3 linked regions of the Elephas maximus indicus genome follow. The protein of the gene in region 1 interacts with the protein of each later gene in a pairwise test. Links are inferred from orthologs where the notes say so. Each region holds a gene or a part of one and is shown in the gene's direction. Other genes may lie near its edges.

Evidence for each region.
Region 2: the proteins of ZBTB9 (region 1) and LASP1 interact in binary tests that used the Homo sapiens proteins (3 or more experiments, as listed by UniProt). The two-hybrid records come from large-scale screens. The link is inferred for Elephas maximus indicus from reciprocal best matches to the Homo sapiens genes ZBTB9 and LASP1.
Region 3: the proteins of ZBTB9 (region 1) and TSR2 interact in binary tests that used the Homo sapiens proteins (3 or more experiments, as listed by UniProt). The two-hybrid records come from large-scale screens. The link is inferred for Elephas maximus indicus from reciprocal best matches to the Homo sapiens genes ZBTB9 and TSR2.

Annotation. Positions count from the first base shown.
Region 1 is NC_064819.1:96,272,042-96,282,186, forward strand, and holds ZBTB9 (zinc finger and BTB domain-containing protein 9), read left to right. Parts: upstream 1-6,089; 5' UTR 6,090-6,302; coding exon 6,303-6,352; intron 6,353-6,530; coding exon 6,531-8,013; 3' UTR 8,014-9,797; downstream 9,798-10,145. Other genes in the region: SYNGAP1 (ras/Rap GTPase-activating protein SynGAP), read left to right, coding at 2,981-3,127. UniProt on the Homo sapiens protein: May be involved in transcriptional regulation.
Region 2 is NC_064837.1:46,397,783-46,408,323, forward strand, and holds the start of LASP1 (LIM and SH3 domain protein 1), read left to right. Parts: upstream 1-6,541; 5' UTR 6,542-6,701; coding exon 6,702-6,770; intron 6,771-10,541. UniProt on the Homo sapiens protein: Plays an important role in the regulation of dynamic actin-based, cytoskeletal activities.
Region 3 is NC_064846.1:113,559,360-113,569,717, reverse strand, and holds the start of TSR2 (pre-rRNA-processing protein TSR2 homolog), read left to right. Parts: upstream 1-6,358; 5' UTR 6,359-6,376; coding exon 6,377-6,460; intron 6,461-6,613; coding exon 6,614-6,704; intron 6,705-10,358. UniProt on the Homo sapiens protein: May be involved in 20S pre-rRNA processing.

The DNA of each region.
Region 1 (10,145 bases):
TGCAGCTCCTCATCAGGTAATTCTCCTGGTTCCGCTTTGACCACGGGCGGAGGACACAGGGGGAGGTGACTCCGGACCACTGCAGGTTGGTCGTGAAGCCCACTCCCCTCCGACCCTCCGGAGCCTCTCCTCTCTCACCACTGCCCTCCACACCCAGAGAACCTCCACAGACCCTACTCTCCTGACACCTTTGCACAGACCTATCTCCCAAGGCACCACCCAAAGAGAGTGCTTCCTGTTGCCTTCCAGAACTGTTCCGAAATACCTTACCAATACGCAGAAGCATTTTATCCTAGGCTCAGCACAGTCACAGACCACACCCCTAAACACTCCATCCTACAAAGCCACCCCCCACAGCCTCCTCCTGACTCTAAACTCTCCTCTTCCTTGACCTCTCCAGTGTACGTCTGTCACCCCCCATTTCACCAGAGCGTCCTTGGGGGTTGTGGCGTTGGAGGTGGGGTGGAGGTGATGATGGGTTGGGGAACCCTGGCTATAGGGGCTGTGCCGACTGCAGCAGGTAGGTTGGGGTTTCCTCTTCCTTCCCTAACCTTGGTTATCTACCCCTTCTTTCTGCCCCTCACCTACTTCTCTCTCTTCTTCCTTCCCTACAACTCTGAGGCAGAAGGCATCTGGGGCACCTATTAGCCCTCATTGGGCAGGAGTTAGGAATGGGTGGTTAACTCAGGGAGACTTTGGAGGGCCCTGGAAATAATGCTGTTCAGATGTCCTGATGGTAGAACAAGGAGAACCTAATGGGTGGAAGGAGAATGGGCAAGAAAGGAACCTTGGACAGATGTTAGGATGTGGGCTTGCCCGTGAGGACTTGACCGTGTGGCGTGGGAGTTGGCTGTGGGGTGAGACATCTTCTTTCTATGATAAGATCATGGGCTTAGTAGCCATGTTGATTCCCAGGCAGAGATGCCAGGAACAGCGTGTTAAATAACCTCTCTATTCTCCTCAGAACTCACAGCCCCAAGGGGTTGCTAAGGCTACTCACTCCTCCTCTCCTGCCACCCAGTGGCCTTGCCGGACACATATTCCTACCTAAAAAGCCTGTAAATGGGAACCTGTTAGGGACTGACATCATTTCCAAGATGCTTTATTTTTATTTTTATTTTTTTTTTTTATTTTCTGTGGGATTGATCTGCAGTGGGCAGTGTGGCTCCTCACACTGTAATTTTAACTCTCTGCCTGCCCAGCCTTTCTGTCAGAGTAGTTAGTGATCTGTCAACAGATGCTAAAAGGCACCAGGGGACCTCACCATTTAAAGGACTCCTGCAGTGAATTCTTTTGTAAAATGAATAATGGCACCCTAATTTATCTACTTTCTAAATTTGGGTCCACGGGGGTGTAGGGGGCATGCCTAAGTGCTGTCGCCAGCAGATGAGCAGAGAGAAGGGAATCTGAGGTTTCCTTCCTTGCTCTCCCGCCATCTCAGGATACCCTAGCATACGTAATTTCCTCTCGCTGACTTGGAGAAAGTGTGTGATACACCCAGCCAGCTAAGAGGGCAGCTTTGCTCAAGGCTGGGGTTTTGGTGACTGAGAGTTGAGCTCTTTGATCCTGGGATGGAAGGGAGAGCTGCTCATCTGGGAGCCTTTACTTGGAATGTTTTTGTATTCTTGGAGGATATGGTCAGGCATAGCTACTTTGCCAGGCCTAAATGCCCTGTGGCCCTGGAAACAATTTGGACATTTGTTTGAAACCACTTCTGGGTATCAGTCCCTGTGTGACTTGGCTATTAAAAAATTAAAAAAAAAAAAAATTTTCTATTGTGCTTTAGATGAAAGTATTAAAATTAATTTTGACTCTGTATTTTAAAAAACCCGAGTGAGTGACCCAGAAGTACAGATGGCTTTCTTTCTCTCTCTCAGCTGAGGGTAGGAAGCAAGAATTGGTCCAGGATTAGTAGGAGGAGATGAGAATAGGACCAGAGGTGGGAGTGAGTAGGGTCTGGTACCTCTCACTCTCTAGCTGGGATCCCAGGGAGAGGGATTAAAAAGAAGATGGGGGTGGAAAGGAATGGAGCCAGTTTCTGCTTCCTGGGGATGCAGAGATTGGGGCATGCTGTGTCTCTGCAGAAGCTTCTAGTCGTTTTTTGCCAGAAGTGTGAGAGAGGCAATCCCTCCCACAACATTTTTCCCTTTCCAAATCACTTCCCTGAATCCCCTTCCTTTCCCCCCAGTACAGTTAAACCTCTCTAATTTGGAATGTTATATTTGAGAAGATGGCCACTCTGAATAAGTGACAAAACTGAATGACAGTGTCTATTTAATGAAATGCATGTCTTCAAAATACATACAGTAAGTAGAACTTGATGAACAAGGCTTTTTCCACTCGAGGCCCTCAGGGAGCATGCGTTAATGAATAGATAGGATTGAAAAGTCTGTTTTCTGGTATAGGTTAAATATTCCCTCCTACAGATGCATTTCCACCATAATTTGCTTAGCACACCCTTTCTTCAGAGATAAAGGAAAACTCAAGCCCAGTTTCTGTTCAGATTATGACAAAAATTCCAAATCCATGGGGGTTTGGATTAATGAGGTTTTGCTGTACTGCCTCCCCTTGTTCCCTCAACACAAAATTCCTACCTCGGGTTTCGGGGTGGGCTGGGAGGCGGGTCCCAAGAGAAGGAGGGTGGGCTGGGCAGGGAGTATGCGGTAAAGATAGAGGGGATTGGGTTGGGGAAAGGTAGGAACTTGTTTCTTTTGAGCTGGTTTCCTGGTGTGACTCCCTGGGTTGAAGGCCCCAGTTAGGAGTCTAGGGTTGAGATTTTCTTCTCCCTGACTCCAGAGGACATAACTTCTACTGCAGGTGAGAAACAAAACAGGATGGTGGGGATTGTCCTGGGGGGAGGGGGTGGGACATGGCTTGTGGAGTGGTCGGGCTATGGGGGAGGCCACAGCTAGGGGGCTGGCACCCAGGCTCCCGCGAAGCGTCTCAATAAGTCCGCGCTCTCCTCTTTGGTATCTTGCAGGAGAGGCAGCTTCCCCCCTTGGGTCCAACAAACCCGCGTGTGACGCTGGCCCCACCTTGGAACGGCCTGGCCCCCCCAGCCCCGCCCCCCCCACCCCGGCTACAGATCACCGAGAACGGCGAGTTCCGAAACACCGCAGACCACTAGCCCACCCAGCATCACCGACCCATCCTCCTCCTCGCCCATGCACTCCACCCCGGAACAGCACCAACCACCAGGACTGGACTTCACCGAGGGACAGCGGGAGTGCCTCCCTGGATGCCTCCTTGGGGAGCACCGATCCCCTACCCCCACTGCACCATTCCTAGAAGGGAGAGTGGGGACCCTCAGCTGCTCCCTTTCCTACCTGTCGGGGTGCTGCCCCCTCTGTGACCCCCAGGGACCCTAGCCCTAGGACACCACCTACCCCACACAGACCCCTTCACTCCGGGGTGCTATCCCCATCCTCTGCCTCATCGTTCCCCTGAGCACTGGGGGACAGACCTCGCCCCCACCCTGGGGGTGTGGTACCTCCAAACTTTCAACTTCAGGGTGATTTTTTAGCAGTAACCAGAGCTGACAATCTAACTCCCCTCCACCGCCCCATTTTGGCCTCCCCTGCCCCCCTTGTTATGGGGAGGGGACCCCGGGTGAGGGGGCCCTATTACCCCTTGATTTCTCAGGAGCGTCTGGGGGGGCTCAGCACGCACAAACTCCTTCTCCTCCCACCACTCTTAAATTTACTCCCTTCCCACCCAGAACCCAGATGGGGTGGAGGGGGCCACCGGGGCAGGGAGGGGGCGGCAAGGGGGGAATGGGAGTTGTCTCCCTTCTTCCCACACCTGATCTGCTCTCGGCTGGTCCCAGAGCGGGGTGAGGGGGCTCATGCCCCCCCCTCCCCCAGTGTGTTGGGTGGGGTGGAATTGAGGTTAGAGTGAGGGGATGGGGTTTAGGACGGTGTGTATGTGGGGGAGGACAGACTAGTTTACCTGCCATATCCTCACATACAGTCCCCCTGCCCCTCCCCTCTCTCTTCTTGGTCTCTACTCCCAGGGGGAGGGGGGAACTTACTCTAGGAAAAGCCATGTCTCCCTCCCCCCAGGGTGGGGGGGACCTGTGATGGAGGAGGGGTGTTGGGGGGGCCCCCTTCCATGACTGTGTCCCCTGGGAGGAGGTAGGACAGGGCTGTGCTTCCCTTTCATCCTCCCTACCCCCCAATCTCCCTTCTCCCCCTTCCCTCCCGCCAGCTCCAGAATTTTTCGGTGTTTCTCTGTACATAGCTCTCTGGCGGGATAGGGGAGGTAGGATGGATGGGGTTTGGGGTGGGTAGGCCATGGGAGGGGAGAAGCCCCTCCTAGGCACCCCCTCTTCCCTAACTGCTGTCCCCTACCTAGCCTTGCCTCCACATCCTTTGCGTTTGGTATTGAGACTCTTCCCAGACTCCGCCCTTTCTTTTGTATGGACAGTTCCCCTTCAGACCCATCTCCCTACACACATACACCCAGCCGGGGCCAAATTTATACTTATATAAAAGTTGTAAATATGTGAAATTTTATCCCTGTGCCCTTTCCTCTGCTTTCCCACCTCAGGCCCTACCCCTGGACCCCTGTTCCTCCTCTCCTCTTTGGCTGTTGTAATTATCTGGGGTTTGTACTGTATATATCCAGGGTGTGTGTGTGTGTGTGTGTGTGTGCGCGTGTGGGCTGGGGGCAACCCCTCTGTACAGAGCTTCCCGGCCCCCCCCCTCCACTCCCTCCCCACCCACCATCCTAAGGGTAGGGGACGCTTTTCCTACCAGTTTTATTTTGTTTTCTCGTTCTCCCTCCCCACATGACTCCCAGCCTTCTCTATCCCCCATCACAGTCCCTTTTTCTCCACTCCCAGCCCCGTTTCCTTTTTTTCTGGAGTGTGTGGTGAAACAGAAAAATGTTTAATAAACAGAGATTGTTCTTTTATTGCTGTGCTGACTTTCCTAGGCGAGGCCCTCAAGATGGACCAGCAGGGTGGTAGGATCTGCTTTTCGAGAGGAGACTAACAGTCTGGAGAAATGACTATTATCCTTCTCTGAGTGCACAAATCCTCACAGAATGACTCTCCCACCCAGCAAGGAGATTTAATTTTTTTTTTTTTTATTATGAAGAGTAGGGGTTTTGCAGGGACTAGTCAAACCTCCCCAATGTAGTGTGCCCTCACCCACCGTTCCACTTAGACTGAAGGAGCAAAGATGGAGGAGGGGAGGGGCTCCTGATAGAAGATTCCAAGTACATGTACCTAAAAAAACTACTTTGTAAAAAACTGTCTGCCATCAAGTTGGCCGTACTCATAGCAACCCCATGCACAACACAACACCGCTTGATCCTGCACCATCACCATGATCAAGTTGTGGATCGGCCAGTTGGTGACCTATAGGGCTTTCATTGGCTGGTTTTTGTTAGATAGGCAGGTCTTTCTTCCTACTCTTAGTCTGGAAGCTCCTCAGAAACCTATTCAGCATTAAAGCAACACTATGCCTCCATTGATGGTGCCTGCCCTGAAGTGCACTGGCTGGGAATCAAGCCCAGGTCTTCCCCGTGAAAGGCAAGAACGCTACCACTTAACCACCACTGCCCCCTAGTAAAAAATAATTACCAGAAATAAGGGTTGTTTAATTCATTGCTGGTGAAAACGCTCCTGTGCGGAATGGAGGAAATTTGGTTTCCAGTTCCCGGCCCACCATTTGCCAGCTGAGTTTATTCCAGCCTCGGTTTTCCTGCATGGAAACCGAGGATGTAAACACCTACGTGGAGGAGCTGGTGGGAAGATAAAAGATGATGTGGCCAAGCATCTAGCTCCCAGTAGGTGCCCAATTAATCTCGCCGTTCTCAGCCCCTATGGGGGGCCGGGCGCTACATTCCATCACCACGAAACGCAGTTTTCCGGGGCGACTCACAACTCGCTCCCCCACGTACCGAGTCGGCAGCGTCCCCCAGCCACCTCTTCGGCCCAGGCGCCAGGCCAGAAACCGCACCAGCTCCGCCCCTCTCACCCGCTCAACCAGTCAATACCAGGCTTGTAGACTGCCGCCCTCCGATTGGCTGGCGCCCCAGCCTGCTGGTTGCACTCGGCGTAGGCGTCCGGCGAGGAGGCGGCGACTTCCGGCCCAGGACCGCGCTGAAGCTGCGGATGCGCTGTTAGGTCCACACCGCGTGTGTACCGGTGGGGGTGTGTCGGCGGGCAGGGCAGCCGGGCGGGGCCCCGCGGTCTCTGCTGGCCGTGGCCTCCCCGGAGCCGACCTCGGGCACCGTGAAGGGAGACGGAGCGGCGGGGCAGGAGCGACCCCGAGCTGGCGAGGTCAGGCTCGTGGATGAGAGACTTCCTCATCTTATTCCGCAGGCCTTGGAAGTTACAACCCCGGTTGGTAACTTGTCGTTATTGTTTGTTTTTTTGTTTTCTTGGTGGGGAAGTGTGCGGGACTAATCTGCCAAAACCTCCACAGACTGAAAAGTTGACAAATGTTGGAGGGTAGTTGTTTGAGGAGACATGGTTCCCCTTATCCAGGGCTTCTGTGACCCCCCGTCTCTTTCCTCCACAGCCTTCATCCCGCGTGGGATCTCTCCCCAGCCCCCTTTCTCCTCTTGGCCACCCTCTGGGATCGCTCTCTTTCCGAGGAGGCCATGGATACCTCGACGCCTTTGCCGCCTGTGGCCCCCTCCCCCGTCTGCAACCCAGCTCCACGGACAATCCAGATCGAGTTTCCTCAGCATAGCTCATCGCTGCTGGAAACCCTGAACCGCCACAGGCTAGAGGGGAAGTTCTGTGATGTGTCTCTCCTGGTGCAGGGTCGGGAACTTAGGGCTCACAAAGCCGTGTTGGCTGCTGCCTCTCCTTACTTCCATGACAAGCTTCTTCTGGGGGATGCACCGCGTCTCACCCTGCCGAATGTCATTGAAGCTGACGCCTTCGAGGGGCTACTTCAACTCATTTACTCAGGACGCCTCCACCTGCCACTAGATGCTCTGCCTGCCCACCTCCTTGTGGCCAGTGGCCTCCAGATGTGGCAAGTAGTAGATCAGTGCTCAGAGGTTCTTAAAGAACTAGAAGCCTCAGGTGGTGGACTCTCAGCCCGTGGAGCAACCCCATACCGCTCAGTTCTTTCCGCTACATCCACTGCAGGAGGCTGGTGCCTTCGATCTCCCCCTTTCCAGACCCCAGTGCAGTCATCGCCCTCTGTGGAGAGTCCTGTTGTAGGGGAGGGAAATGAACTGGGAGAGGTATTACAGATTCAGGTAGAGGAAGATGAGGAGGAGGAAGAAGAAGAAGATGAGGACCAGGGGTCAGAAGCACTCTCGCAGACTCCTCAGCCTCAGAGAGTGTCAGGAGATTTCCCCCGCCTTCATGGATCCCACCCATCACCAAAATCCACTACTCCCTGCAAGCTTCCAGAGGGCGAGAGTGCTCCGTCAGAGCCTCTTACCACTTCTACTGCACTGCCCCTCAAGATCTTCTACATAAAGCAGGAACCCTTTGAGCTTAAGGAAGAGATACTAGGAGGTGGAACTCAGTCTGGAGGAACAAAGGAGGAGACCAAAGTGTTCCCTCGGAACACTGAAAGAGATGGGGAGTTAGAATTATTGCTGCCCTCAGGAGCAGACGCACCATCTGGGGGAGGAGGCCCCTCCTGGAAACCAGTGGATCTTCATGGGAATGAAATCCTGTCAGGAGGTGGAGGACCTGGGGGAGCAGGGCAAGCTGTGCATGGGCCTGTGAAACTAGGAGAGGCACCCCCTGCAGATGGAAAACGCTTTGGTTGCTTGTGTGGGAAGCGATTTGCAGTGAAGCCAAAGCGGGACAGGCACATCATGCTGACTTTCAGCCTTCGGCCCTTTGGCTGTGGCGTCTGCAACAAGCGCTTCAAGCTGAAGCACCATCTGACAGAGCACATGAAGACCCATGCTGGAGCCCTGCACGCCTGTCCCCACTGTGGCCGTAGGTTCAGAGTCCATGCCTGTTTCCTTCGCCATCAGGACTTATGCAAGGGCCAGGGCTGGGCCACTGCCCACTGGACTTACAAGTGATTTCTGAGGCCATACACTGATTTTCAGGACAAGAGAGCCACTGCTACTGATGGATACTCACCCCTCACTATCATTGCACTTCAATCCTGGATCTTGTAATCATGTCAAGAGGGTAGATACATTATGGGTCTGTGTATAACCTCTGTCTTCAGTGTGGGCCTCAGCCTGGCAATTTGGAAACTCAGATTTCTCATCTCACCCCGGGTTTTTGCTAACCACCCTGTACCAAAGCCCACTGCCATTGAGTTGCTTCTGACTCATAACGATTCTATAGGACAGAGTACAACTGCTCCATAGGGTTTCTAATGCTATAAATCTTTATGGAAGCAGACTGCCACATCTTTTTCCTGCGAAGTGGCAGGTGGGTTCAAACTGCCCTCCTTTTGGTTAGCAGCTGAGTGCTTAACCACTGCACCACCGGGGCTCCTTAACCACTTGATAGGAAGGTGGTTTACAGGTCATATTTAAACTGATCACTTGCCCATAATGGACCCTCCTTTCCTGGTGGTGGCGTCCATTCAAGAAACTTAATTTCAGATCAGAGGGTTATTTGGTGAGAGATGAGTTAGAGCAAAAAGACATGATGATAAATTTTACATTCGGTCTCTGTGAAGGGTTAAAAGAACCAGTGTCTACGTAGAGATACACTTGATTCAGAGTTTGAGTAAATGGATGACTAAGCTCTAAGCTTCCCTCATCACTGCTGGAATGATGTGAGCAGAGATCTTTTTCTGTACCTATTTTGTTGTATCTTTCCAGAAGCCTCTCTGATCGTAACTTACTTTCTTACTAGTAGATACCTTCCCAACTTTTATTTTTTATATTGTAGTTGAGCACTTTAACACACTGAGCATTCCATGTGTCATTCCTTGAACCCTCTTTAAGAGAGGGTATTCCCTCACTACCCTGTGCCTCTTTTCTGCCTTTGTCACCACCACTGGTCCCTCATATACTAATCACAGTGACTGAAATGTGAGTCGACTCAGGAGATGGCCACCGACCTAAATGCTGCCAGGGCAGCACCACTGCACTCTGAACAAGTTGCAGTGGGCAGAAGGACTCAGGGCTGAGATAGCTCATGTTGAAGTCTAGAGAGTAACTGCACAGTGGAACCACACCCTCTCTCTTTCCCTCCCAACCCATACCTGATGGGACAGCCTTGTTGAAGGGTGGAGGGGTAGACCTTGGAATGGGGAGGTTGTTGCAGGTTACTTAATTTCTCCAAATAAATTTTGCCCTGAAATCTAAGCTGACGGGACTGGACTGAGTAATTTGTGTGGGAGATAATGTGAGAACAGAGCTGCAGAGACTTAGTGTGTTCATTCTGTGACTGGGTTATGTTGATGGGAGAAGAATGGGATGGCTTCACACTGGTGCAGAGAACACTCCTGGACTTACAGTGGGTCAAATTCTAGGCCCTGACCTACTGAATAACCTTGGGTAAGTTACCTTTCACAGTCTGAACTACCTTTTTTTTTTTTTTTGGTGGAGTGGGGTAAAGTGCACTCCCAGCTGGTTCTCTGCCTTGTTTTTAAAAGACGTTTCATGTAATCTTTACCAATAATAGTCTCTGACTTCATGTATTGTGTGTGATGCTTGATAGTTGTTCAGTCTTACATTTAGTGCAAAGCACTATGCTAAAAAAAAAAAAAAAAAAAAAACTATGCTAGACCCTGGTTAATACTCTGCCCTGAAAGAATTCACAGCTGGTACAGAAAATAGACAATTACAATATGGTATAACTCCATGATCTAGGGCAGTACAAGCTACTGTAGTGGCACAAAGGAAACAGAGCAAAGACCTTTCATAGGTCAGTGGTGGTTTCACAAAGAAACACCTGACTCCTTCACGTGCTGGTGTGGCTCTGCGGTTGGTAGCTGAACTGATGGGAAGCTGTTGACCACAGGAATTATATTCACAACTATAGGGCCAGGGGTGATAGCCTTCCCCAAAGTATATTTCTTTGGGGGGATTTTTTAAAAACCGCTTTATTAAGTGTAATTCACATACCATAAGTTTTACCCATTTAAAGTGTGAAATTCAATGGTTTTTAGTATATTCACAGAGTTTCACAATCGTCACCACAATCAATTTTAACTCTCTTCATCCCCCAAAAGAAACCCCATACACTT
Region 2 (10,541 bases), on another chromosome or scaffold:
GTTGATTCCAACTCATAGTGACCCTGTAGGACAGAGAACTGTCCCATACAATTTCCAAAGGGCGCCTGATAAATTCAAACTGCCGATCTTTTGGTTAACCGCCGTAGCTCTTAACCGCTTCACCATCAGGGTTTCCAAGCTCTTAGTACCCTATATTTTTTCTTCATATCATCTATTACAATTCTTAAATATGTATTCGGTGATTATTTATTTAATGACTCCCCCACTAAGTTTATAAGCTCCATAAGGGCAGGATCCACGTCTTTTTTGGTCAACAGCCTTTCCCCAGTTCTTAGCGTAGGGCCTGGCCTCGCTCAATAAATTTATGTTGAATGATTGCTTAATAAATGGAGAGGTCTACCTCAATGGTCTCCATACATCGGCATCCTTCTAAGAAGTTTTCACTTTTATTTGGGATTATGGTTTTTTTTGGTGTTAAAAATGTTCCAGTCTTCCTCTCCAGCCCAGACATCTCTGCTTAGCTCTAGACACATATTTTCAATTGTTGATTGGGACATCTCCACTGCTCAGGCACTTCAGACGTACCATGACCAAAACAGGAAGAATCATTTTCTCCCAAAATTTGCTCTTTTGCCTGTATTAGCTTTCTTGGTTGGTGCTACCACTACTGTTCAGAAACCTAGGACATGACTGGTTGTCCTCTTCTCGTTTTCTCCCCCTAGGCTCCCAGAGCTAGTCTCCACGGGTGTTTACTTGACTCTACTTCCTGAATTTTTCTGTCCATGACTCCCAATCTGCCCTCGGTTCAGGCTCTCATGTGAACTATCGCAACTGCCTCTGAAAGGTCTGACCATAACCTCCCCTGGCTTAAAACCCTGTGCTGGCCCTCCAGTGCTTGGGGAAAAAAGTCCAAGCTCCTTAGCATAGCACTGGAGTCTGTTCAGGAACTGGTCTGTCTGTCTCTCCAGCCTCATCTTCCATTCTGCCTCTCACACTTCATACTCTAGCAACCCCCAACTGCCTAGGATTTCTGGACACATTCTTCTGCTTCACACCTCCTTGTATCTGTGCGTGCTCTTTTCTGCTTTACCCACTATGAGTTTTTCAACACTTTGCTCAAATGTCACCTCTTCCCTTTGCCATCTCACAAACCCAGCATTCTCTCCCCCAGAACCACCTCTTAGATCAGCGGTTCTCAAATATTTTGACCTTAAAAACACTTAACACTCTTAAATTATTGAGGGCCGCAAAGAATTTTGGTTTATATGGGTTCTATCTATCGACATTTACTGAATTAGAGTTTAAAATTGAGGAATGCTTAAACGTTTATTTATTAATTGAAGATAACAATAATCCTGTTAATCTAAATAACATTTTTGAGTGAAAATAATATTTTTCTAAACAAAAATAATTTAGTGAGAAGAGTGGCATTGCTTTATATATTCGAGGAATCCCTTTAACGTCTGGCTTAATGAAAAACAGCTGGATTTTCATATCTGTTTCTACAGTTAATTTGTTGCAATATCACCCTTCACGTAGAAGTACCACTGTATACTCATGAAAGAATGAAACAGGCAAATAATGGGTGAGTATTATTATGAAAATAGCTCCTTTTTCCTGGAAGACTCACTAAAATAGTCTCGAGATACCTGAGGGTTCTCAGACCACACTTGAGATACCAGTGATTTAGAGGATGAATGAAATGTTAGAGATACCACACTGTACAGTAATTTATTTGGTTGTATGTTGATCTGATGTTAGAAGGTGAAGCTCAGGAGGATAAGGCATTTTTATTCCTTTCTGTATTCCCAGAGTGTTTGAAACAGAATACTTGCTCAGTTGTATACACCTGGGCGATGGAGAAGTTTGTTTCCTGGATTGGAGGATCTTTTGGGGGTTTTTTTGGTTGTAAAATTGTCAGCGGGGTAAGCAGCGCTAACTTTTCTCTGTTCCCAGAATTTCTAGTTGGTTCTGCCTTAAACTGCGTTCACTCAATATCTTCCATTGTCTTCCATTTTGTTCATTTGAGGATGACTAACCAAAAGCAAACCAAACCCCCAAACCAAATCAAATTTCAACTCATAGCGACCCTATAAAACAGACTAAAACTGCCCCCATTGCGTTGCCCAGGCTGTAAATCTTTACCGAAACCACGGACCTGTCACCTGGCAGCCGAGCGCTCAACTGCTGCACTGCCAGGGCTCACTTTGAGGGTAGATAAGATACGTAGTCTTTTATAAAACTTGAAGCTTTAGGGGGCACCCGGATTTGAACCGGGGACCTCTTGATCTGCAGTCAAATGCTCTACCCCTGAGCTATACCCCCTCTGCTGGAAAGCGTTAGATTACAGCTTAATTGTCATGTCTCCTGAACGGACAGTGCCTCTGGTAATTGATAGCAGCTTAATACAAGTAGCCCTGGTGGCCAAGTGGTTAGAAATTTGGCTACTAACCAAAAGGCTGGCGGTTCAAAGCCACCAGCCGCTCCTTGGGAACCCTGATCTAAGAGGCCGCTTGGTCAGAATCGACTCAACAGCAACGGTTTTGTTTCGATTTTTGGCTATAATTAACTACTTCAGGTTTCCCAGGGCCAGAAAAAAGAGCGGATGATGCTGGAGGGGGGAAAAAAAAATCACAGAGGCTGTTACGCTTTTGTCACTAAACAATCTGGGCCCAAATGGTGGGAAAGTAGGGAGAAGTCGCTTCTGACCCAGGCTTAAAGGTCCGTGCCATGTGCAATGGAGTGTCTCTCCGCCATCACTACAGCCTTTTCTACTCTGGCACCTGGGAATTCTTTAAGTCTACTTTCCATCCTCTCTGCATGTAACCTGATCTACACTGAATCCCCAACCCAGTGATTTGCACACAAGAGGAAGTGTTTCTCTCGCTTTTCCTAAGACCACCTCTGCTCCCATCCCAGACTTGCCCCCATTGTCTCTATTCTCCCCGGTATCTTCAATCACCACTCCACCTCTTTCCAGTGTCAACAGGTTCCTAGATTGGGAAATTCTTGTTTTATCTGTGATTGCCTCCCCATTGGTTTCTTTCTCAATGCCAAATTTTAAGAAAGTCTGTGACTTTTTTTCCCTTTTCATCAACGGCCTGTCTCCCCAGTTCTACTACCCTCTGCATTTGCTTTCTCGTGGTATGTTATTTTTTCCCTTTGAGTGTTTATCTCTAGCAGTCTAGGTGACGATTTAAAAAAAACTCCTGCTGAAAACCGTCCAGTGGCTTTCTATACATTTGGAATAAAATCGAAACTCCTTACTGAGATCTACAAGGCCCTCCACAGACCTTGCTACTTTTCCAGCTCTCCTGAATCATTCTCCCCCTTGTCCGCCTTTCTCCAGCCGTTCTGGGCTTAGAACCTTTGTAGTAGTCATTTCCTCTACCTGAATGCCACACTTTCCCCAGATGGCCAGATTCCTCAGTCATTTTCCTTATCACTGCCGGGTATTTTCTCGTTTATTTGTGGATTTATTTCTAATGTATACTCCTCACTAGACTGTTAAGGCAGTGAGAATGAGAACCTTGTTTCTCTCTGTTGAAAGTAACTCCTGCGCCTAGAGCTAAACGTGCACATAAGTGCTCCAAAAAGAAAGAAAGAAAGGAGACCACTAGAGAACATGGCCAGGGAATTATTCTCAGTGTAAACGGAGATGCTTTTTAAGCTGGTGTTTGTATTCTTTTTAGAGAGATTAGGGGAAAACATTCCCTATCTAGTTTTGAAAGACGTTGTTCTCTGACTTGTTAGGGGAGAGAGATGAATGGGATTGTGGATAAAGAATTGAGCCTAGAAAAGGCAGATTGGTACATAAATTCATGTTTTCTAACTACCATGTCTTGAATTTGATGTCTAAAATTGTGTCTTGTCATGAGAAAGAAGAAAGTTACTTTTTACAAATAATCTCCAGCATAAAGGGGTTTTGGAATTGGTGTAAAAAGAATCTACCAGACGGTTGCCAAGAGCGGGGGTATAGCTCAGTGGTAGAGCATTTGACTGCAGATCAAGAGGTCCCCGGTTCAAATCCGGGTGCCCCCTCTTCTCACTTTTATGGCAGGAATTTAGTCACAACAAAAACTCGAATTAAAAATCAGCCAGTTCAGAATCTGAATCTGTGCCCACAGATGCGACGTTTTTCTCGATCCGTGAGCAGCGTTTTTCACCTGGTTTACCTTTTCACATGTTCTCCGAGCCAGAGAACCAGAGCAGCAACCCAGAAGTCTGAGCCGCGTACCCCGACTCGCCGGCGAGAAATCCACGCGTGCTGTTTCAAAGCAGAATCGAGGCGCCGAGCGAACTCCGAGGCTGATCCAAACCCACTGGTTATTACCTGGTTTAATGTTAATTGTAATTTCGTTTCTGGATGAAAATGGCGTGTTGGGAGCAGGGCGTGGTGGGAAATAGTATTATTTTGCCTAGCCTGTATTCTAACCAGGAAAACTAAAAGAACGAATCCAAACTTACAAGATTTGTACACCCGTTAAGAGGACACAGCACACATGGAAGACAAGGTGAAAGACCATACTCTCCGTTCTTTACATTGCCATGGAGATTAGAGCTTTTGCCTGCGTAACTTGTAGGCTCTAAGTTCGGGGCCTGGTCTTGGGGAAATAAGCAAAAACTAGTTTATTCTTTGAGTGTTTGGTATCAGACAGAATTTTCGCTCTCTATTCATGTCCAGTTCTGCCACGCAGCTCACAGTAATGGAAACCATGTTAAAAAAAGAAAAGAAAAAAAAAAGGCTCCCGAGTACTCCCCCGGGGCCGGAGGCATGACACAACCAGATTCCAGATCTAAAATATCTTGCCGCTGCCCCCTGACCCAGGCAGCGTGCCTCTCCCTTTCTCCTTTATTTTTCCTTTTTTTGGGCAAAACCCAGTGGAGAGGGACGTTCCTGCTTCTCCTTTTTTCACACTTTACATTTCCCTCCTGCCCAACGGTGATACTGTCAGTGAGGCAGACAGCAGATATGTTTCCATTAGGTTATGAAACTCGATGGCCTGGTATTATTATTAGTTCAGTGGTTCTCAGAGGGTGACCCCCGGGGACCAGCAACATCAGCATCACCTGTGAACTTATTAGAAATGCAAATTATCGGGGCCAGACCTACCGAATCAGATCTAGGGTGCTCAGGAAAAAAAGAAAAGTGCTTTTCTGGGGATATTTAAACTGTTTTTTTTTTTTCAAACAACAAACCCTTCAGGGGGTGATTCTGATACACGCTGAAGTTTGAGAACCACTGTATTAGCTTGTATCCGGTTGCATCAGATTAAAACTTTTAAGTTTGTACTTAAAAATGAGCTTAGGGGTGTGCATTGGGCATTTTAACGTTCTCGAAGTGGTTTCGCACTGCCTGTGTCATGAATAATAGGGAAGGGTGACCACAGCACGCCCTTGTCTCCGGTGATATAATAAAGGAAGTTGAAGTTGGAGAAGGGCTGTCTCTGTGGATTTTCCTCTCTTGACCCACCTCCCTACACCCCACTGGGAACGGAATGGCAACTTGGGGAAGTCATCCTGTCCTCTGATCCCGCACCTCAAATTGCCTGACACATCTGGGGCTGGCAGCTGTGGCCGCAGAAATCCCGACCCCTCCGGCAGCTTTTGTACCTGATTTGTCCGCGCACCCTCCCCCTCCGCTGAGCACAAAGCAAAACCGAAGGCTTTCCGCTGAGGCTGGAAAATGAGGAAGGGGCTTTTTTCTTTTAACCTAGGACCCAGTGTTAAAATATGAGAGTGAAGGAAAAACTAAAAAGAAAGTTACAGTAGTTATAAGGAAGGGAGAGAGAAAAACTTTAGAGGGGGCACCCGGATTTGAACCAGGGACCTCTTGATCTGCAGTCAAATGCTCTACCACTGAGCTATACCCCCGCGCCGTTCCACCGCCTGAAATTCGCTCTTTTAAGTGCTAAGATACACTTGCGGCTACTACACTGAGCGTGAGACGTGGGGATTAGGTGAAAGGAACGAAGGAGGAATGGGGGCGAAGCGGTAACCAGAAGGTACCCGAATCCGAAGAACCCGGGGGAAAGCTACGAGGCAGAGGCGCGGGGAGGGAAGAACCACCCAGGGCCGCCAGGCGTAGAGTTGGGATGGGAGCGACAGGTCCCGCCTTACAAATGTGGGAACGGATATATGGGGGAGGGGTGCTAACTGAGGGGCGGGGCGGGGAGGGTTCCCGCTCAGTCTGCGGGTCACACCAGGTACCGACGGGTACAAGGAAAGTCCCCGAATAATGCCCTACGGTGAATCTGGTCGGGCGTTCAGGACAGGTGCGCGGGGTTTGGCCACCTCCCTCAGCCCGGGCGCCCCAGGTGTGCGCCCAAACGCGCTCCGCACTGCTCCTAGCGCTAGAATGGCTCGGGGGCGCCTCTCCCGGGGATGTCTGCCAGGGCATGCAGGGGCGCGGGGGCCCTTGGGACACACCTAGGCGCGCACCCGCAGCCCCGCAGCCCTCCCCGGAACCCACCCCCGCGCAGCCCCACGTCGCCCGGGGAGCGCGCCTCTCCGCGCGCGCCCCTGCTCGCGCCTGCGGCGCGTCCCCGCCCCGGTGCAGCCCCTCCTCCTCGCCGTGTTTATTAGGGGAAGGAGGGCGGAGGCGGAGGCCAGTTCCCCAGCTCCAGCCGCCGTCGTCGCTGTCTGCATAGTCGCAGCCGCGGCCGCCTCCCGCCAGCCCGCGCCGGGGACAGAGAACGCGCGCGAGCTCGGGCGCTCCCGCTCCAGCCTTTCCCGGAGCCATGAACCCTAGCTGCGCCCGGTGCAGTAAGATCGTGTACCCCACGGAGAAGGTGAACTGCCTGGATAAGGTGAGCCCGCAACCGGAGGCGCGTTTTTACAATCCCGGAGTGCTCAGGTTGGGGGAGGAGAGAGGGGCCGGGTCTAAGGCGATCCCGGGAGGTGGGAGGGAGGGCGGTGTCATGGGATATGGGGGCAGACCCCAGTCTGGAATCCAGGAGATCTGAGGCGAGACGGAGAGTCCACGCGTGGCGGGCGACCACTCCAAGAGAAGAGTGGGCTCTGTGCGCCGGGGGTGGGAGAATGGAAGGGGAGCGGAGAAGCCGGTTGTGTGTGTGGCGGGTATTTAGGGGTGCAGTCCCACCCCCTAAGGCCGGGAGAGTGAGAGGAGACGGCCGCTCCCTTTCCCCGTTGCGCGGAGCGCCAAGTAGGCGGAAGCGCTGGGCGCTGGGGGAGGGGGCGGCAAGGGGGCGGGGCAGAGACGGGGGGTGGCATGCGAAGACGTCCCCTCTGGTCGCGGATGGCCCAGCTTTTTGGCTGGAGACTGGGAGGCGGCGAATATGAGTCGGCGAGTGTTGCATATGGTGAAGGGGGTTTCGGATAAGGACACGCACCCCACAGCGGGACCCCCTTTTTGCACGACATGCGGTCCCTTTGGTGATTCGGTGGTTAATGAACTATCAGACCTCCTCCTTTCGCTTCCCAACCCCCACCTCAAATTAAAAGCCAATTCCGGGTGCTGTGAGGCCCAGCCTGAACGGGGCGGGGTCGGGTGCTGGAGTGGGGTGTGTGTGGGGAATATTTCACAGAGATCTCCAGAAATTGTGCTCAGAGCTTGGAGACCGGTTTGTAGAACAAAGAGCTAACTTTTCAAAGCAGGTTTCCCCAATGGAGGGTGGGGTTGGCTGAGTTCAGAGGAATCCAAGGAAAAGGGAAGGTATTTGGGGGGAAAGGAAGGTGGCCTTTTGGAAATTCACTGTCCCCTGGGGGTCCGTATACGCGCCACCCCCATCCTAGACTCCTTCATCTGGTTGCCATTATACTTTGGCGGGGGGGGGGGAGAAGAATAGAATTGGGTGTTTCCAGCACAGTTTGGGTCTGATCCGGTCCTCTTGGAAGCTCCTTAGGACCCTAAGGCAAAATCTGACCCCCTCCACATCCCCTCCCCAGACAGGAGCAGAGGCCACTGGGATTTTGTTCCTCTCTCCATTGTGCCTTTCCACCCACCTCCCAAAGCGGACCCAAGTGCAAATATTCCCACCTTTCTGTTTGAATTGGCAGGGGTGAGGGGGTTCAGGGTGGAAGAAGGCTGCAGAGCCCTGGGGCCAAGTTCATTGCCGACCTGAAGCTGGTTTTGTTTGGGAAAGAATAGCTCATTGGATACTTTGTGTCTCTCCTCCCCTTTGGGGCTGAAACTTCCTCTGTGACCTTTGGTTCTGGATCAGGGTGAGGGGATAGGATTCTGAGGTTCAGAAATACGTTTGAAATTGCTCTTGGGGGAAGAGGGCATATAAGACTGCTGCTGTTTCACTGTCTGTCCTGGGTTGGCTGGGCGGGGAGAGGGGGGGATGTGTGGGCAGAAGGGGAAGTTGTTGACCTTCCCAATGACCATTCCAGCCTCTGGAGGGTGGGACTTGAGCTTGGAGGGCTAGATCAAGAATTGTTCCCTTGAGAAGTTTATCTGTCTTTGCACCCTGGGTTTTTTGCTCTTCTCTGGAGGTAGAGATTTTGGCTTCTGCACTTTGAATTCCCTGTGCCCCCTTTTTCTCCACAGTCATGAATTGGGAAGAGGCAGTAGACAATTTTATCCATGTAAGGCCCATATGATGGAGGACTTACTAGGCTGGGAGTTGGGAGACTGGGTCCTAGTTCTAGTCTGCTCCTGTCAGCTTTATGAACAGCTCTGGGCTCCAGTTTTTGCCATCTGTCAGATGGGTATGATGATGGCATTTCCTTGGAGGTGGGGCAGTGTACTTGGAAAGCACCTGCCAAAGTGCCCACAAGGGGTTGTGGTAGGCTATGCCCTCCCTACCTTTTGAGATCCTGTGTCTAGCCCCACACCCAGCTCCCTTGTAAAGACTTTTGATGCTGTGTGTCAAAGGGGAGAGGGGGCAGAGATTCCTCAAGGTGCCCTCCGCAGCTGTTCACTTCCCCAAGCTGGAAGGGGACAGTCAGGTGGGGGTTGTCCAGGGGAGTGGGAGCTGATGATTCCTCCCTCTTTTTAGAGCTCTCCCTACAGGAGGTGACCCCAGGAAGACTTCGCCCCCTGCACTGAGCAGGAGGCCTGGAATATCCAGGTATCAGACTTACTCTTCCCAACCCCCTCCTGGCAGTAAGGACAGGCACCTGGACCCAGGAACTGGTGCTGGAGGACACTGTGCTGAGACCTGGGATGGGGGAAAATTCCGTCCCATAAGCACTGTTTCTAGCCAAGTTCCTGAGGCTTCCCGTTTACAACAAGAGGTTGTTACAACAGGAAAATCAAATTAGATTTGGCCGTTCCTCTACAAGTCCCCTACAGCACTTAATCCCCAACGGGGCCCAAAGCACAAGCTACTTCCTCTGGATTAGCCTTTTCTCCTCCCTGAGCCATATCTCCCCAAGGTATAGGTGGGTAAATGCTGTCGCCTCTGACTGGCCACCCTGCCCCCAACCTGCAGTACCCAGTGTGCTCTGCACGGTGAATAAATATGTATTCGCTGATGACTATGTTTGAGGAAGGAGGTTGAGATTTACTTCTTCCCCAGAGGATTTCTGGGATTAGGGTTGGGGGAGAAACAAGGTGACCTCATTCCCACATTCATTCTACAAATACTTATTGAGCACCTACTTTGTGTCAGGCACTCTGGAGGGCTGCCACAGGGCCTTTGGGGAGGGAGAGAGGCCTTGTCTTTCTTTCCTGTCAGCCATGTGTCCTCTACGTTTTGCCTGAGGTGGAAAGTTCTGTCACAAGCCTTTTTTGGGAAACATTTGTTTCTGGAGACCTACATTGTCAAGAATCTTGCCATGCCCCTCTTCCCTAGCTTTCCCAGGTGCGTGGAAACAGGTAGAGACACTTGGGAAGATAGATGGAAGATTGGTCTGCCCATAATTCCCCTGGAATCCCCACTAGGGTGGGGCTCTCTGCCTCTTGTTATCTGAGCCCTTGGGCAGGAGACAGCAAGGTAGAAGGAGGCTGGTCTGGACAGTGGGATCCCTGGATTCAAGGACATGAAAAGGAGACAGGTCCTTGGAGCTGTGGTACCGGATTTTCCAAGTTGAAGCTAAGAAGACCCCACGATTACCCTCCATTCACAATAGCTACTACTTATTATGAGGTGCCAGGTCTTCACAGCAACCTCACAAAGCAGGTGTTACTGCAACTGTAAATTATGAACCTGATAAACTGAGGCTCAGATGTGTAATGTGGCTTGACTTTCCACACTTCTTTCTGCCCTGTTATTCTGCCTAGTATGTTTGCAAAAAAGTATGTTTAGTTACACTGTCTCTTTGGTGTCAGAAGTGGGTCCCAGTTCTTCCTGACCCTGGGCAGTTGGGACCCTAGCAATAAAAATCCCTTGGAATTTGTGGAGATGCAGCAAAGTTTCAGAGAGGGTCTGTGCGTTTAAGCCAGCAGCCCAGGTGGCCAGCTGAGCTAGGCTGGTGACCTGGCCAGGGTGGGGCTGGTATTGCCCCTGGAGGAGGGAGAAACTGTAACCCTGGTGGACAGGAAGGGAGGAGAGAGCTCATACTCCAACCCTGAGTCATAGCTCGGGTGCAGAGGGCAAAGAGCCAGGCTGCAGTCGAAGCAGCTACTTGAAGCTTGCTACCCTTCCTCTGCCCGCCCCCCCACCATTGAGAAC
Region 3 (10,358 bases), on another chromosome or scaffold:
CCCTATAGGACAGAGTAGAAGTGCTCCACAGGGCTTCCAAGGCTGTAAATCTTTATGGAAGCAGACGGTCACATCTTTCTCCCACAGAGTAGCTGGTGGGTTCGAACCACCAACCTTTCAGTTAGCATCCGAGTACTTTAACCACTACTTCATCAGTGCTCCTTATTTTAGGATTAACTTGTCCACTTCTGCCAAAAAAGGCCATTGGAATTTTATTATGAGGCGCATTTGAATCTGTAGATCAATTTGAGGATTATTGCCATTTTAACGATATTGAATTTTCCAATCCATGAACGTGGGATGGTTTTTCATTTATTTAGGTTTTTAATATCTTACAATGTTTTGCAGTTTTCCTTGTATAGGTCTTGCACTTCCTTGGTGCAGTGCAATGGAGCACTTTTGTGTGGCCTTTCTAGCCATGGTCTTGTAACTCCCACCCAAGTGATTCGGCGGGACTATGTGATAGGGTAATTGTGACCCACCAAAGGGATTGGTCATTTTTGCTGTCCCACTGGGCTTGAAACGAGCCACCCCAGAGGCAGGAAATGTAGGATTTCACCACCACCAAAGACGAACAGCCAGAAGCAGAGTGCTCATCTTTTGAACCCAGGATCCCTGCACTGAGAAGCTCCTGGACCCAGGAAACAGATAGCAAGCTGTAACCCTAAAAACGATAAGAAGTGGTGGCAGGAGAGACCAGCAGAAGAGACTGTGAGGTGGGCTTCCTGGTCCACCGAGCGAGAAAGCTGAGTGCCCTTCCACACAGGCAGAGGGCTAGGGAGAGGCATACCTGTGAGAATGGCTGGGAAGAGGCTATCCTGATAGAAGAACTGTATCTTGAGCATTCCCGAACCTGAGTTGTAACCCGTTACTTCCCTAATAAACCCCAACATCATGAGTATTGTCTGTGAGTTCTGTGTGGCCACTGTAATGAATTATCCAATCCAGCAGAGAGACAGAGAGTGCTGTGGGAGGGACATTTGGTGTCAGAATTGGTAAAGATGGTGTAGAGAGGAGGCATATCTGACCTCTGCCTCATAGGAATCAATCTTGGCTGTTGATCGTGATTCTCCTTCCCCCTTGTAAATTTAGAGGAGGTCAGACACTGCCCCCATGCCGTTTTTATACTTGGTTAAATTTATTCCTGTCATGGATTGAATTATGCCCCCCCAAAAATGTGAGTATCAGTTTGGCTGGGCCATGGTTCCTGGTATTGCGTGGTTGTCCTCCATTTTGTAATTTTATGTTAAAAAGGATTAGGGTGGGATTGTAATACCCTCGCCCAGGTCACATCCCTGCTCCAATGTAAAGGGAGTTTCCCTGGGATGTAGTCTGTATCACCTTTTATCTCTCAAGAGAAAAAAAGGAAAGGGAAGTGAGCAAAGGAGGGGGGACCTCATACAACCAAGAAAGCAGTGCGGGAGCAGAGTTGCATCCTCTGGACCCTGGGTTCCTGTGTGAAGAAGCTCCTAGTCCAGGGGAAGATTGATGACAAGGACCTTCCTCCAGAGCCAATGGAGAGAGAAAGCCTTCCCCTGGAGGTGACACCATGAATTTGGACTTCTAGCTTACTAGACAGCGTTATACAGATGACACGACCTTGCTTGCTGAAAGTGAAGAGGACTTGAAGCACTTACTAATGAAGATCAAAGACCCCAGCCTTCAGTATGGCTTGCACCTCAGCATAAAGAAAACAAAAATCCTCACAACTGGACCAATGAGTAACATCATGATAAACGGAGAAAAGATTGGAGTTGTCAAGGATTTCATTTTACTTGGATCCACAATCAACAGCCATGGGAGTAGCAGTCAAGAAATCAAACAACGCATTGCATTGGGTAAGTCTGCTACAGAGGACCTCTTTAAAGTGTTGAAAAGCAGGGACGTCACCTTGAAGACTAAGGTGCGCCTGACCCAAGCCATGGTATTTTCAATAGCATCATATGCATGTGAAAGCTGGACAATGAATAAGGAAGACCGAAGAAGAATTGACGCTTTTGAATTGTGGTGTTGGCGAAGAATATTGACTACACCATGGACTGCCAAAGAACAAGCAAATCTGTCTTGGAAGAAGTACAACCAGAATGCTCCTTAGACGCAAGGATGGCGAGACTGTGTCTTACATACTTTGGACATGTTCTCAGGAGGGATCAGTCCCTGGAGAAGGACATCAAGCTTGGGAAAGCACAGGGTCAGCGGAAAAGAGGAAGACCCTGAAGGAGGTAGATTGACACAGTGGCTGCAACAATAAGCTCAAGCATAGCAACGTTTGTACGGGTGGCGCAGGACCAGGCAGTGTTTCGTTCTGTTGTGCATAAGGTCACTATGAGTCGGAACCAGCTCAACGGCACCTAACAGCAACGTAACAGTGAGAAAATAAATTTCTCTTTGTTAAAACCATCCACTTGTGGTATTTCTGTTATAGTAGCACTGGATGACTAAGACAATTCCTAAGTATTTTATTCTAGTTGATGTTATTGTAAACGCAATTCTCAATTTCACTTTCAGATTGTTCATTGCTAATGTATATGAATATAATTGGTTTTCTTATATTGATCTTGTATCCTGCAACCTTGCTGAAATTGTTCATTTGTCATAACAGTATTTTTTGTGGATTCCTTAGTATTTTCTACATATGAGATGATGTCATTGCAAATATAGTTCTTCCTTGCCAATCTGGGTGCCTTTTCTTTTTCTTGCCTAATTGCCCTGGCTAGAAACTCCACTACAATGTTGAATAGAAGTGGTGAGGTTGGACATCCTTATCTTGTTCCTAATCTCAGGGGGAAAACATTTATTCTTTCACCATTTAGCTGTGAGATTTTCATAGATGCCTTTTATAAGGTTGAAAAAGTTTCTTTCTCTTCCTAGTTATTGAGTGTCTTTATCATGAAAGGGTGTTGGCTTTTTGAAAAACATTGCTTCTGCATCTATTAAGGTCATGTAATTTTTGTTTCTTATTCTATTGATATGGTGTATTACATTACATTAATTTTTAATTACATTAATATTTTCAACCAACCTTACATTCCTGGGATAAATCCCACTTGGTCATGATGTTTAGTCCTTTTTATGTGTTCCAGAACTCTATTTTCTAGTATTTTGTTGAGGATTTTTACATCTATATTCATAAGGGATATTGGTGTTTATTTATTTATATATTTTCTGTGATGTCTTTGTCTGGTTTTAGTATCAGGCTAATACTGGTCTCATAGAATTAGTTGGGAACTGTTCTATCCTTTTCTATTTTCTAGAAGCATTTGTGAAGGATTAGTGTTAATTCTTCTTTAAATGTATGGTAGAATTCACCAGTGAAGCCATCTGGGCCTGGGCTTTTCTTTGCGCGAAGTTTTAAAATTATTAAATCAATATCTTTACTTGTTATAGGTCTATTCAGGCTTCTACTTCTTTTTTTTTTCCCCATTGATTTTTTTTTTTTTTGTGGTAAGTATATACATAATGGAAACCCTGGTGGCATAGTAGTTAAGTGCTAAGGCTGCTAACAAAAGTTTCGGCAGTTCAAATCCACCAGGTGCTCCTTGGAAACTCAATGGGGCAGTTCTACTCTGTCCTATAGGGTCGCTATGAGTTGGAATCAACTCAACGGCGCTGGGTTTGGCTTGTTTTTCTGGTTTATACACATAACAAAACATTTGCCATTTCAACATTTTTTATTGTACAATTCAGGGACATTAATTACAATTATCATGTTGTGCAACCATCACCACTACTCATTTTAAGATTTCTCCATTACCCTTTCCATTTCTTCTCGACCCAGTTTTCATAGTTTGTGTGTTTCTATGAATTTTTCCATTTCATCTAAGTTATCTAATTTTGGGGCATTCAGGTGTTTATAGTATTCTCTTATAATCCATTTTGTTTCTTTGTGGTCAGTAATGATGCTTCTGCTTTTATCCCTGATTTTGTGAATTTAGGATTTCTCTTTCTCTCTCTCTTTTTTTCATAGTCAGTCTAGCTAAAGGCTTGTCAATTTTGTTGATCTTTTCAAAGACCCAACTTTTGGTTTTATTGATTTTTCTCCGCTATTCTTCTATTCTGTATTTCATTTTACTTCTGCCCTGGTCTTTATCATTTCCTTCCTTCTGCTTGCTTTAGAATTACTTTTTGCTCTTATTTTTCTTGTTTTCTAAAGTGGAAGGTTAGGTTGTTGATTTGCAACCTTTCTTCCTTTTTAATATAAGCATTTACAGCTACAAATTTCCCTCTAAGCATTGTTTTAGCTGTATCCTATAAGTGTTTTTCCCCCAGGTTTTTAAAAATTGTCTTATTGTGGTAAAATATATATATATATATACATATATATGTACGCATATATAAATAACAGAACATTTGCCAATTTAACATTTTTTAAATGTAAGATTCAATGGCATTGGTTACATTCATCATGTTGTGCAACCATAGCTACTATCCATTTCCAAATCATTCCGCTACTATTAACACAAACTCTGTTTCTAAGTGAAGCTAGAAATTAGTGTTTCTACGTAAACCTCAGTGAAACTAGCTAAGGTTGCACCTTCCTCCATTCCTCCCACCCCTGGTAAAGCTAATAAATGGGATCATACTATATTTGTCCTTTTTGTGACTTATTTCACACAACACTTTTCAAACCATTTTTTTATTGTTGTAAAAATTCTCTCAACATGTTTTCGTCCATGTTGTAGCATGAATCAGGACTTCATTTCTCTTTATGGCTGAGCAATATTGCATTGTATGTAGGTATCACATTTTGTTAATCCATTCATCTGTTGATGGACATTTAGATCGTTTCCAGCTTTTGGCTACTGTGAATAGTCCTGCAATGAACGCTGGTGTACATCCTACAAATTTTGGTATGTTGTGCTTTTGTTTTCATTCATCCCAATGTATTTTTTTTCTCTTATTGTGCTTTAGGTGAAAGTTTACAACTCAAGTTAATTTCTCATACAAAAATGTATACACATATTGTAGTGTGACATTAGTTGCAATCCCTCATATTTTTTAATTTCCCTTTTTTCCTTAGACCCATTGGTTATTTAGGAGTGTGTAAATTTCCACATGGAAACCCTGGTGGCATAGTGGTTAAGTAATGCAGCTGCTAATTAAGGGGTCAGCAGTTTGAATCCCCCAGGTGCTCCTTGGATACCCTATGGGACAGCTCTACTGTGTCCTATAGGGTTACTGAGTCTGAATGACTCCATGGCAGTGTTTTTTTTTTTTTTAATTTCCACATATTTGTGAATTTCCAAAATTTCTTTCTGTTATTGATTTCTAATTTCACTCCATTACGGTCAGAAAACATACTTTGTATGATTCCCATCTTTGTAAATTTATGGCCTAGAATATGGTCTATCCTGAAGAATGTTTCATGTGCACTTCAGAAGTATATGTATTCTGCTGTTTCTTGGTGCAGTGTTCTATAGATGTTAAGCCTAAAAACCCATGCCCGTGGAGTAGATTCCGACTCAAAGTGACCCTATAACAGGGTTAGAACTGCCCCGTAGGGTTTCTAGGGCTGAAATCCTTAGAAAGCAGACTGCCACGTCTTTCTCCTGTGGAGCTTGTGGGTTCGAACAGCCCACCTTCCGGTTAGCAGCGCCCCCAGGGCTCTCCTCTATAGCTGTTAGGATGCTTTTTAAAAATGCAGATTCTTTATGCTTGGCTCCCCAAGGTTGATTCCTCCACCCCAAGGACCGGAAATATGTATGTTTTTTTAAGTTCCCCCTACATCTTTCCTGCGGAGTACCCATAGCCCAGAACCCAGGATCCGAAACCGAGTGACCCCAACCGTCCGCCACTTCTGGCGTCCTTATTACAAGTAACTGTGGTGTTGCCAAGCAGTTCTGGTGGTGCAGTGGTTAAGTGCTCAGCTGCTAATTGAAAAGTCTGCGGTTGGAACCCACCAGCCGCTCTGCGGGAGAAAGATGTGGCAATTTGTTCCTGTAGAGATGGGGCAGTTCTACCCTGTCCTATAAAAAATAGGGTCACTAAAACCTGTTGCTGCCCAGTCGATTCCGACTCATAGCGACCCTACAGGACAGAGTAGAACTGCCTCCATAGAGTTTCCAAGGAGAGCTTGATGGATTCCAACTGCCGACCTTTTGGTTAGCAGCCGTATCTCTTAAGCACTACGCCACCAGGGTTTCCGATAGGGCCACTATGAGTTGCAATTCCACTGAGGGCAATGGGTTTGGTTTTTTGGGGGGGTTTCGGTTTGCGGTATTCCCATCGATCGCTCTGATAGACTTTTCTATTGCTCTAGCCTTGATGCCGGCTCAGCGAAAAGCTCACCTATTCTCAGATCGGCCTCTGCGTCGGTTTGCCTGGACGATGCTGCGGAGGGATTGGTCGGCTTGCGCATCACGTGGTTCGCGACCGGATGATGGCGGGCGCTAGTGGAGATTTGTGGGCGCTCTTTGGAGCTGGCGTCCGCGCTGCGCTGGAGGCTTGGCCGGCCTTACAGGTGAGTGGGGCCAAGGACAGGATAAAGGTTAGGACTTGGAGCAGAACAGGAGTTGTCCGGCGAGGCTTGACTGGGTGGCATAAGCAGCGAATCCTCACCTCACCTCGGGACGGCTCCCGTGCTGACATGGTGGACTTGGGCCTGTGTTTGCAGATCGCTGTGGAGAATGGCTTCGGGGGCGTGCACAGCCAGGAGAAGGCCGAGTGGCTGGGGGATGCAGTGCAGGAGTACTTCAGCCGCAACGGTGAGTGAACGTGAGGCGCTCGGACCTGTCTGTGTGGAGGCGTGGAGAAGAGGAGCCTAGCTGTATGGGACAGGGAATATCGACACCTCAGACTTGTCTTAAGGGGCATTAAAAGAATAAGGGGCCCAACAGTGGACCTGTTGCATAGTGTAACATTTAGGCAAAGTCGGTTCTCTCAAGAAAGTTTACTATCTGGTAAAGGAGCCAGACAACACAGAGTGATAGATGTTCTGATAAAGAGGAGCTCAGGGTGCCGGGGGAATGTGAAACTAGGGGGAAGGCTTTTCAGGGGAGGTGGTGGTTGGGCTGAGTCTTAAAGGGTGAGAAGGAGTTAACTAGGTGGGGGAGGCAGAGAGAGCAACGCTCGCATGAGTTCTGTGGTATGAGGTATGTGATATTTGGAAAGTGGCAGGGACGTATTGGAGTAAGGGTGTGGGGGTGGGGAGTGATGGAGAACGAAGCTAGGGGGTAGGGAAAAAAATGACAAACCAAACTGGTTGCAGTGCAGTCAATTCTGACCCGTAGTGACCCTACAGGTCAGAGTAGATCTGCCCCATAGGATTTCTAGGGCTGTAAATCTTTCTTCGCTGGCGGGTTTGAACAGCCAGACTTTTGGTTAGCAGCCGAGCGCTCAACCCCTGCGCCACCCCCCAAAAGACTAAAACATAGAAGGCCTTACACGTCTTTAATTTTTTCTTTTAGGCCAGTGTTTGCTAAAGTAAAATGCATGCTGTGGAAAGCTAGTCCTGTTAGATGTTCAGTGAAGATGAAGCTTCTCTACTTAAATTATATAAGAAAAGCTCTTTTCTTTTGCTCCCACTTAAGAGTCTCAACATTTATTAGCATATTAAAGGCTTGGATAAGGATAACCAATTGCCATCATGTTGATCCTGACTCATGGTGACCCCATGTGTGTGAGTAGAACTGTGTTCCATAGGGGTTTTTTTTTTCCTCTCCTCATAGGGTTTTTAATGGCTGATTTTTTATAATAGATCCCCAGAACTTTCTTCCATGGCACCTTTGGGTGGACTCAAACCTGCAACCTTTTAGTTAGCAGCTGAGTGCATTAACTGTTTGCACTACCCAGGGTTTCCTTGGATAAGGATAACCAGTTGCTGCTGAGTGGATTCTGACCTATGGCCACCCATGTGTGCAGAGTAGAACTGCACTCCATAGGATTTTCAAGGCTGTGACCTTTTGGAAGCAGATCTCCAGGTCTATCTTAGGAGGTGCCTCTGGATGGACTCAAACTGCCAACCTTTTGGTTAGTAGATGAGCACCTAACCAATTGCATCAGCCAGGGACTCCTTGGATGAGAATACCAAAAAACAAAACCAAACCTGTTGCCATCGAGTTGATTCCAACTCATAGCAACTCTATAGGGCAGAGTAGAACTAACTGCCTAATAGGGTTTCCAAGGCTGTAATCTTATGGTATCAGACCGCCACATTTTTCTCGCACAGAGTGGCTGGTGAGTTCGAATCGCTGACCTTTCGATTAGTAGCCGATAACCACTAAAAAGACAATTGTTTACCTGTGTTTCCCGTTAGCTTTCTATGGACCAGAAGAAGCCCTGGTGGTGCAGTGGTTAAGTCCTTGGCTGGACCAAAACCCAAACCAAACCCCCATTGCCGTCGAGTCGATTTTGACTCATAGCGACCCCCAACAGAATGGATATTTTTCAAAGGCAGACTATGAAACACTGAAGTACGGGTTAAAAATTCATAGGCAGGTCTAAGGTGAGTAATAGGATGGGATTTGCTGGCTAGAAAGATCACAAAATAATCAGTATGGAGCATGGACTAGAAGGGGAAAGACTGATGAGAAGGCTGTTTATGTTTAGAATATGACGAGGCCTAAAACTACTCTCTCCTACAGGGTCACTATGAGCTGGAAGCAACTCGATGGCAACGGGTTTAAACTAGGGCAGTGGCAGTGGTCGTGAAAAAGAAGGGGTGGATTAGGGTCTTGGAGATTGCTTAATTGTAGATGGGGAGGGAAAAGAGGGCAGGTTTCTGGTTTGACTCACCGGGGGGATTAGGTACCTTTCACGGAGTAGAGAAAGGTCCCTAGAAGGCTCAAATGGTTTATGCTTAACTGCTAGCCTAAAGATTAACGGTTTGACCAAAAGCAAAGAAGTTTCCTGAACACAACCGAACGCTTCGAAGTGATGGGGGTTTGGGGACTATGGTTTCAGGGGCCATCTAGGTCAATTGGCATAACAAAATGTATTAAGAAACATTCTGCATGCCACTTGGTGAGAGGTGTCTGGGGTCTTACATGCTAGCAAGCAGCCATCTAAGATGCATCAATTGGTCTCAACGCACCTGGAGCAAAGGAGAATGAAGAACACCAAAGACATATGGTAAAGATGAGCCCAAGAGACTGAAAGGGCCACATAAACCAGAGACCTTATCAGCCTGAGACCAGAAGAACTAGATGGTGCCCAGCTACCACTGATCACTGCTCTGACAGGGAACACAACAGAGAATCCCTGATGGAGCAGGAGAACAGTGGGGTGCAGATCTCAAATTCTCATAAAAAGACCATAAGCCTGATCTGGTGGAGACTGGAGGGACCCTGGAGGTCACGGCCCCTGGACCCTTTGTTAGCCCAAGACAGGAACCATTCCCGAAGCCAACTCTTCTGACAGGGATTGGACTGGACTATTAGATAATGTTACTGGTGAGGAGTGAGCTTCTTGGCTCAAGTAGACACATGAGACTATGTGGGCAACTCCTGTCTGGAGGCGAGATGACAAGGAAGAGGGGGGCAGGAGCTGGTTGAATGGACACGGGGAATACAGGGAGGACAGGAGTAATGTGTTTCAATAGGAGGAGAGCAACTAGGAGTACATAGCAAGGTGTGTATAACTTTTTGTATGAGAAACTGACTCGATTTGTAAACTTTCACTTAAAGCACAATAAATAAATAAATTAAAAAAAAAGAAAAGATTAATGGTTTGAACCCACCCAGTGGTGCTGTGGAAGAAAAGGCCTGGCAATCTGCTTCCATTAAGATTACAGCAAAAAAAAAAAAAAAAAAAAAAAACAACCCTGTGGAGCAGTTCTCTGTAACACATGGGATCACCATGAGTCAGAATTGGCTAGACGGCAACTAACAACAACATGGAGCAGAGGAACTCTGGAGGATGAGAAGCAGGTTTTGGAGGATAAGTGATGAGTCTGGCTTTGGATATGGATGGTCTAAGGTGCCTGTGAAACAACTAGGCAGAGAGGGTAGTCTGAGTTGGAGGCAGATTGGGGGGATATTAGGATAGAGTGGTGGAGTCCCTAAGTGGTGCAAACAGTTAAACGCTTGACAACTAGCAAAAAGGTTTGCAGTTTGAACCCACCCAGAGGTACCTCAGGAGACAGGCCTGGCCATCTGCTTCCAAAAGCCTTGAAAACCCTATGGAGCAGTTCTGCTCTGCACACATGGGGTTGTCATGAGTTGCAATTGACGTGACGGCAACATACAACAGGATAGGATGGTAGGAAAAACTAAGGGGGTGAATGAACTCCCCCAGGGAAAACATGTAGAGTGAAGAGAGGGTGAGGAGCTTTGTGGAAGTCTTTCTTGAGTTCTTCTCTAATTCAGAAAAGTAGAGGGTTTGACCTGAGCCTGTAAAGAGACTGAAACCCGCAGAAGAGG